2 linked regions of the Callithrix jacchus genome follow. The protein of the gene in region 2 purifies or fractionates together with the protein of the main gene of each other region. This does not show direct contact. Links are inferred from orthologs where the notes say so. Each region holds a gene or a part of one and is shown on either strand. Other genes may lie near its edges.

Region 1 (3,649 bases), on a different chromosome or scaffold from region 2:
GGATCAGAATCCATCTGAACTTCTTTTCCTCTGACCAAAAAAATCAAATAATTCCAAACAGGTCCAAATATATCAAATAATTCAAGGAAGCAGCATAAGTACTTTAAAATTATTTCCAAGAGAAAGGCAATCCCTCTGGAAGGTAGAACAATGCATGAAACTTTGCTGAGGCCATCTCCTATTTCCACATGGTACTTTCATTTGAAAGCTGAAATGAAGTCACAGAGAAGCTGGTAGTATCAGAACACGTCATTTTCATCTAAGTATGCCCTTCATTAAGAGTCTATGTTCAATTTTCATGAATTATGAAAAGTGGAGTCAGCCAACTCATTTAAAAGCCATACAATTAGCTACAATTCAGTTGAACACATTAAAAGGCATTGTTTTAACATTTTAACAGGATCTAAAGGCCATACTTCCTTCAAATAAAACTTCCCCAAATGAACCCCCTAGGAAGAGTCATAATTTCCTACAATTTGAAACAAGACAAATCAACACCTCACTTTTTCCAGATTTCTTACCTGTGTTGCCAAACTCAAGACCTGCTGGACTAGCTCCTGTGTTTCTGATGGTTTCTTGAGAAACAGCTTCACTATGGCAGTAAGCAGAGTGAGCTGCACCTAAACAGATAATTTGATAGAGTGAAAGAATGGCACTGGCATCATTACCTGCCATCATCTCCAAAGTGGTGTTTCCGCAACTATGAATTACTATGGAGTCTTTCTGATGTTGGTTAAGAGAAAAAAGGTTAAAACTCATCAATATCAACAATAGCAGTCAAAAATATTCATGGGAAATACAAAGGTATTCAACTGAAAACTCTATCCTCCTATCCTCAAAATGCATTTTTGGCACAAAACACTGCTTGTTTCTAAGCCAGATAGTTACCTATGTTTATTATTCTTCTTATTATTATTAATTATTTTGAGACAAGGTCTCCCTCTATTGCCCAGATGCACATTTATGAATTGTAGCCTCAAATTCCTGGGCTCAAGCAATCCTTCTGCCTCAGCTTCCCAAGTAGCTGGGGCTACAGGTACAAGCCACCAAACCTCTTTTTTTTTTGTAAATTTTTGTATCTTTTTGTAGAGATGTAGTCTTGCAATGTTGCCAGGGCTGGTCTCAAACTCCTGGCTTGAAGCGATTCTCTTGCCATCAGCCTCCCAAAGTGCTGGGATTACAGACAAGAGTAACTGAGCCTGGTCTGTATTTCTTAAAGTATATGTTAACATACTGATGGTGATAAAACTGACTCCTGAGCAAGTCTTTTATTATTTACTTCTACCAAAAGCTACAATTTGGGGGGAATTATGGAATCATCTGTCATACTGGGGCAAGAGCCAAGACAGTAGAATTATGTCAGATTACAGACTATTAGGAGTTGGCTGCTAAATCACAAAGCTATTGACTTGTACATACTCCTTGATTTAGATCTATTAAAATTGTTATGATAAATCATATACATGATCTTCTACTTGCTTTGAGTACAAATGACAGACAAAAAGGGCTTAATAATTTATCTGCTTCTCGGTCCCATGGCTCTAATTTTGGTAAGGGAAAGTGAGAAGCAGTCTCAGAATTTTCATCCACAGATAATCTTTTCAAAACTCACCACAGCCCCCAGTGAAAATCCCTGCTATAATGAGCCACAGCTATTACTAACAGAAATGTGCAGTCATTCTTAGGTGACAGAAAATAAAAAAGCAGTGTTAACTACTACTCTAATCCAGTGGTTATGTATTGCCAGCCGTAGCGGCAGCAACATCCTGGACCTTGTAAGACATGCAAATACTTAGGCACATCTCAGACCTACTGAGCCAGAAACTCTAAGGCTGAAGCCCAGCAACTTGTGCTTTAAAAAGCTCCCCCAGGTGTTAATAATGCTCACTAAAGTTTGAGAAGTACTGGTCTGAGTTACATAGGTTTTGAATATTAGAAATCAGTAAAACTGGCCAGGCGCGGTGGACCACTCCTATAATCCGAGCACTTTGGAGGTCGAGGTGGGCAGATCGACTAAGGTCAGGAGTTCAAGACCAGCCTGGCCAATGTGGTGAAACCCGTCTCTACTAAAAATACAAAAAATTAGCCAGGTGTGATGGCAGGTGCCTGTAATCCCAGTTACTTGGGAGGCTGAGGAGGGAGAATCACTTGAACCTAGGAGGCAGAGGCTGCAGTGAGCCAAGATCGTGCCACTGCACTCCAACCCGGGCAACAAGAGCAAAACTCTGTTTAAAAAAAAAAAAAAGGCCAGGTGTAGTGGCTCACGCCTGTAATCCCAGCACTTTGGGACGCTGAGGTGGGTGGATCACGAGGTCAAGAGATCAAGACCTTCCTGGCCAACATGGTGAAACCCTGTCTCTACTAAAACACAAAAATTAGCTGGGCATGGTGGCATATGCCTGTAGTCCCAGCTACTCAGGAGGCTGAGGCAAGAGCATCACTTGAACCCAGAGGAGGAGGATGCAGTGAGCTGAGATCGCACTGCTGCACTCCAGCCTGGCACCTAAGCAAGACTCTGTCTAAAAAAAAAAAAAAAAAAAAAAAAAAAAAAAAAAAAAAATCAGTAAAACTGGCCAGGCACAGTGGCTCATACCCAAAATTCCAGCACTTTGGGAGGACGAGGCAGGTGGATCACTTGAGGTCAGGAGTTCAGGACCAGCCTGGCCAACGTGGTAAAACCTTGTCTCCACTAAAAATACAAAAATTAGCCAGGTGTGGTGATACATGCCTATAGTCACAGCTACTCAGGAGGCTGAGGCAGAAGAATTGCTTAAACCCAGGAGGCAGAGGTTGCAGTGAGCCAAGATTGTGCCACTGCACTCCAGCCTTGGCAATAGAGCAAGATGCCAACTAAAAAAAAAAAATTAGTTAAACCGAAAAGGGACATCCCTGTTGGGAGAAAAATGAACACACTATATATAAATACAGACACAGAAGAAACTGCCTATAACCTTTGCTTTCTCTGCAATCTCCCCAAAGACATAGAAAACTACCAGGATAGACAAAAGATAAGAACTTACCTGGGTGCTTTCATCGTGAAAACCCTCCAGGAAGCTTTCTAGTAACTCATCTGCATTGTCAATTCTTTCAGCATATTCTCCCACAATCCAAATCATAGCTGCTCGAGCATCTGGCTCATCTAGTGAGTCTAAGTTCTCACATAGAGTGGCAATGATACTTTCATACCTGATGTGAAAAAATGAACTATGGTTATTAAAAGCCAAACTAAGAATTATATTTAATAGTGAAGGTTAAAGGCAAAACCACAAACAAGGGACCCTAAACCAAACCACCAAACTGTAAAAGCAGTGAGGTTGCAGTGAGCCGAGATCACACCACCACACTCACTTGGGCAACAGACTGAGACTCTATCTCAAAAAAAAAAAAAAACAAAAAAACAATCAGAAGCTTTGGCACAAGATATCTCTATGAGTGTAATGCAACATAGGCTTAAGATGCTTACAAAACCTTCTCTTATTTCACTTTCAGATTCCTTAATTACTTGTTTTCAAAAATCAAATCTAAAAAAGTATTTTTGCTTCAAATACTAAGAGTGTTCAATCTAAAAAACTTGTGAAAATGTAGATTTTTAAAAAAATATTGTATGAGAGTAACTACAATACTTCAGAAACGGCATGAGACTGATACT
Region 2 (3,749 bases):
ATAAAGAGAAGAGTCTCTGCTCTTCCGCAGAGACAGGGCTGGCACCTGACTCACAGGGTCGCGTAGGCTCAGCAGAGGAGGAATCTTTCCAAGAGTTCCTTCAGTGAGAAGAGAAATCCTTTATTATTGGAATCACACCCTACCTTTCCCCTCTTTCCTATATTTGGCAAGATTGTTAAAACTCCAGATGTCCTCAAAGAGCTCTTTGCATTGGCAAGTAATCTCTCCGGAGACTTTAACAATCCTTCTTCCGTGCAGTGATCCCCAAACCTGGCTGCCCAACAGATCACATGAAAAGCATTTTTAAAAATACCATATCCAGGTCTTGCCCCATGTCAATTAAATCAGAATGTCTGGGGGTGGGAGCCAGACACTGGTTTCTGTTTTGGTTTTAAAAAATCCCAGGTAATTCTAAACTGCAGCAAGGTCTGGGAACCACTGTTCTATGCCTTGTCCCTCCCCCAACAACGGCGCTGGGCACCAAACCCCAACGCCTCATGCCAGTGACATCAACAGCAAGTACGGGCCTGGCTCCTGGAACCCGCGCAGCTCAAGGCTGGAATTGTGCAATTAAACCTGAGGCATGTTTCCCATGTCAGATGGGTTTATGAGGGTAGTCACGAAGCCAGACTCGCTCATGTTCTGTCTGGAGACTTGGCACACGTGAACCAGGGACATCAATCTGGTGTGTGTGTGTGTGTGTGTGTGTATGACAGGTTTAATATTTTGGTTGGCCCAATGTCAAATTCTTCAAACGGCAAAGAGAAACATCCAAGAAAGAAACTCCCCGGGTTTTGAGAAGGAAAGTTTGCTGTGAGCCCCGTTTTGAAACACCGTGGTGTGGCCAGGACCGGCTCTGCTCCTTGAGCTTCCGCGCAAGAGTCCCGCGGTCCCCCTCTGGAGTGGCCGGACAGCCGCGTCCCGTTCCACCGCGAAGCCCAGGCTCGACCGAAGGGTTGCAGGCGTGGAAAACCCGCGACATGGCCACCGAACCAGAGCCCGGGGCTTTCGGGGGGGGGCGCCCCGGAGGGAGGTCGGGTCCTCAGCGGGACACACCTGGACCGGCCGAACTAGAGCGCGCCGGGCGGGGCGAGCCGCCGGCCGGGGTCTGCGCCCAAGGGGCGGGTCGGACCCCACCTGCCTTTTGCCAAGGAGGAAACTAACCGCCGCCAGCACCACCCCTTCCCGGGAGCCGCAGGTGGTGGCAGACGAGTTCTCCCAGCTCCCAGGTGAAGGCTGCTACTCCACACCCGGGAACGAGGCTCGCGGGGACCCGGAGAGGCGCCGGGGCCAGGCTGACCCACGCCGGCTTCAGCGTGAGACTCGCGCGGAGGGCGGAGGCGGGAGGTCAGCTCAGGAAGCCGCCTGTCCCGCGGGGTCCGAGGGGAGGCTGCATTCTCGGGGTCCTTCCTCAGCTTCCCTAAACCGCGCGGCCCTGCGGGTGGGCAGCGCTGGCCCCTCGGGTGCGCGTTCCGACCCCGCCGTGCCCTGGGAGGACAACGCGGGGCGCCATGCGGGACCCCGGCTCCCGGCGCCCACCGGGCCGCGGACGCCGATCCCGCGCAGAGAGGCGGGAAAGTAAGGGAGAAAAGTTGGGAGCGGTCGGGACCGCAGGAGGTGCCAGCTGCCGTTCTCCGCCCCGCCCGCAGCCCGGTGCCCTCCCCGTCTCCTCCTCCGCCCGCCGCGGACTCTCCCGGCCAGGGACGAAACGTCCCGTTCCTCCCGCGGTCCCGGCCGGCAGCGCAGCTGATCTCAAGGAAACAGGAACGGACGGGCGGGGGCGCGGGCACCGAGCCGGTGCGCCGGTGCGCGGCTGGGCTAGCTGCGGGGTCCGGGGCGCGCTCCGGGGGCGGCTCGGGAGCCGGCGAGACACGCCCTTACCTTTCTTTTCCTCCAGAGCCAGACTCGCTGGGCAGAGCGCAGCCAGCAGAGCCAGGAGCGCGGCCCCTGCCGTCCCTGAGGGTCGCATCGCTGCTCCCCGAAGAGCTCGCTCCGACGCTCCTGGATCAGTCCTGGACGGAGTCAGGCGGCCGTGCGCGGTGGCTGTGGCGGCGGCGAGGCGGGGACTCGGGCGGACGCCGCCGAGGTGGGTTGTCGTCCCGGCTGGGCGGCGGCGGCCCCCGGGACTCGCTCGGGACTCCAGCCGCCTTGGTCGCGGAGGGCTCTCACACCGTGCGGGGGGCGGAGGCTGCTGCGGCCGCGCGGCGCGGGGGCTGCCCGGACGTCTAGCTCGCGCGGGCCGGGACGTGGGGAAGGCTGGGCGGGAGGAGGAGGGACCAGGCGGCGGAGGAGGGATCGGGAGGAGCGGAGGAGGAGGAGAATGCGAGGAGGAGGGACGAGAACCAGCAGCAGGGACCCAAAGCCAGCGGCCGCCGGAGGCGGTGGACAGCGGTGACCCCCGCGGGACCCGGGCTCCGGCAGGAAAGGGGCGGCGCGTGGGAGGGGAGCGGGTGCCCTGAGGAGTTAATTTCCGAGAGGGGCGTTCCCAGCACTGCTCCTCTGGACTCAGTCTCCATGGACTTGCAGGCCCAGCTTATGCTGAGATGGAGCCAAATCTGTGCCAGGGTCCCCTTCCCCCTTTCCCTTCTTTTGTTTTACAAAGCAAACTTGTACCAGCTTTGGACAGATTGGCCAAGCCCTAGAGCCAGCGTCGGATAATGGCACCGACGGGGAAACTGCTCTTTTATTCTGGTCCCCACCTCCCCTGCAGCACCCTGGGACCCTCCCAGGGCTCAGAGGCTGGCCTGGCAGCTGAGGCGGTTGCCGTGCCTGTGCAGCAGGAGTGCCAGGCGTCCGAGGTGCTGATCCAAAGTCCGAGGGTCCTTCAGATCCCGTCAAGCACCCTCGAAATTGAATGAAATGAGGGTACCCAACTCCGAGCTCAGATACAGGCCTCCTCAATGTTTATTGTAACCGACCCTGGGTAATTTGAGCCAATGTGTGAGGCACAGTACTTCGCAAAAGGGAAGCTCTTGGAATAAACGCTTGACACAAACAGCCGTGGAGATACTTTTAGAGAGGCTAAGTGTCCCACTGCCCTGGTAGCTCCCACAGGAGAAATGCCAGGGAAATTCGCAGAGGCTTTGGCCGGAAGAAACTGAGCTGCTTTGGGCTGCAGGAACTTGAGCTACATTCCTTCTGCAAGTGCACCCTATCCCCACTGTTCCTTCTCCTACAGGAAAAATGCCCTCTAGGTCCATGTTACAGACCCCTCCTCTCCACAAGGTTCACTAGGACTTTCCGGCCTGATTCAACAACCTTGATCTCCCGGCTCTGTCAAGAACCACACTCCTGAAGTAAGTGGAGCCCTTTGCTGCCCTTTGCTGTCCCTGGAGGGGAGCAACCTTGCTTCTTTCCTTCCCATCCAGCAAATTGTCTGTGCCAGAGTTTCACACCCTGCAGCCTAAACGGTGGGGTTTTCAGCAGGGCAAGCGCAAACTCCTCACCGCCGACTCCTCACTGCCAGCTCCTCACCGCTGCTGCAACCTGGAACTTCCCCTGTGAATCAGGAGAAGTAATTTGTTCCTTTGTTTTAACCAATCAGGACAGCCACTGCAGGTTGAAGTCAGCCCCTGGATGCAGAGGCTGTGACGGCTCTGCAGGCACGTGTGTGCTTCCTCCACATATGCACACCTGGGCTGAGAGCAGTCCATAAAGAAACAAAGAAAAAACAAAACCAGGGAATGGCAAACGGGAAGCACAACAGCGGAACACAAAATGAAGACAGGAGTGAGTTTGACAATAAAAGA

Evidence for each region. Proteins that work in one complex are often made in the same cells at the same time.
Region 1: the proteins of EGFR (region 2) and AP2B1 purify together in Homo sapiens (affinity purification with mass spectrometry; 4 studies listed by BioGRID and IntAct, with this or other methods). This does not show direct contact. The link is inferred for Callithrix jacchus from reciprocal best matches to the Homo sapiens genes EGFR and AP2B1.

What each region holds. Positions count from the first base shown.
Region 1 is NC_133506.1:98,757,107-98,760,755, forward strand, and holds part of AP2B1 (AP-2 complex subunit beta), read right to left. Parts: intron 3,187-3,649; coding exon 3,021-3,186; intron 621-3,020; coding exon 522-620; intron 1-521. UniProt on the Homo sapiens protein: Component of the adaptor protein complex 2 (AP-2). Adaptor protein complexes function in protein transport via transport vesicles in different membrane traffic pathways.
Region 2 is NC_133512.1:22,474,947-22,478,695, reverse strand, and holds the start of EGFR (epidermal growth factor receptor), read right to left. Parts: upstream 2,228-3,749; 5' UTR 1,970-2,227; coding exon 1,882-1,969; intron 1-1,881. UniProt on the Homo sapiens protein: Receptor tyrosine kinase binding ligands of the EGF family and activating several signaling cascades to convert extracellular cues into appropriate cellular responses.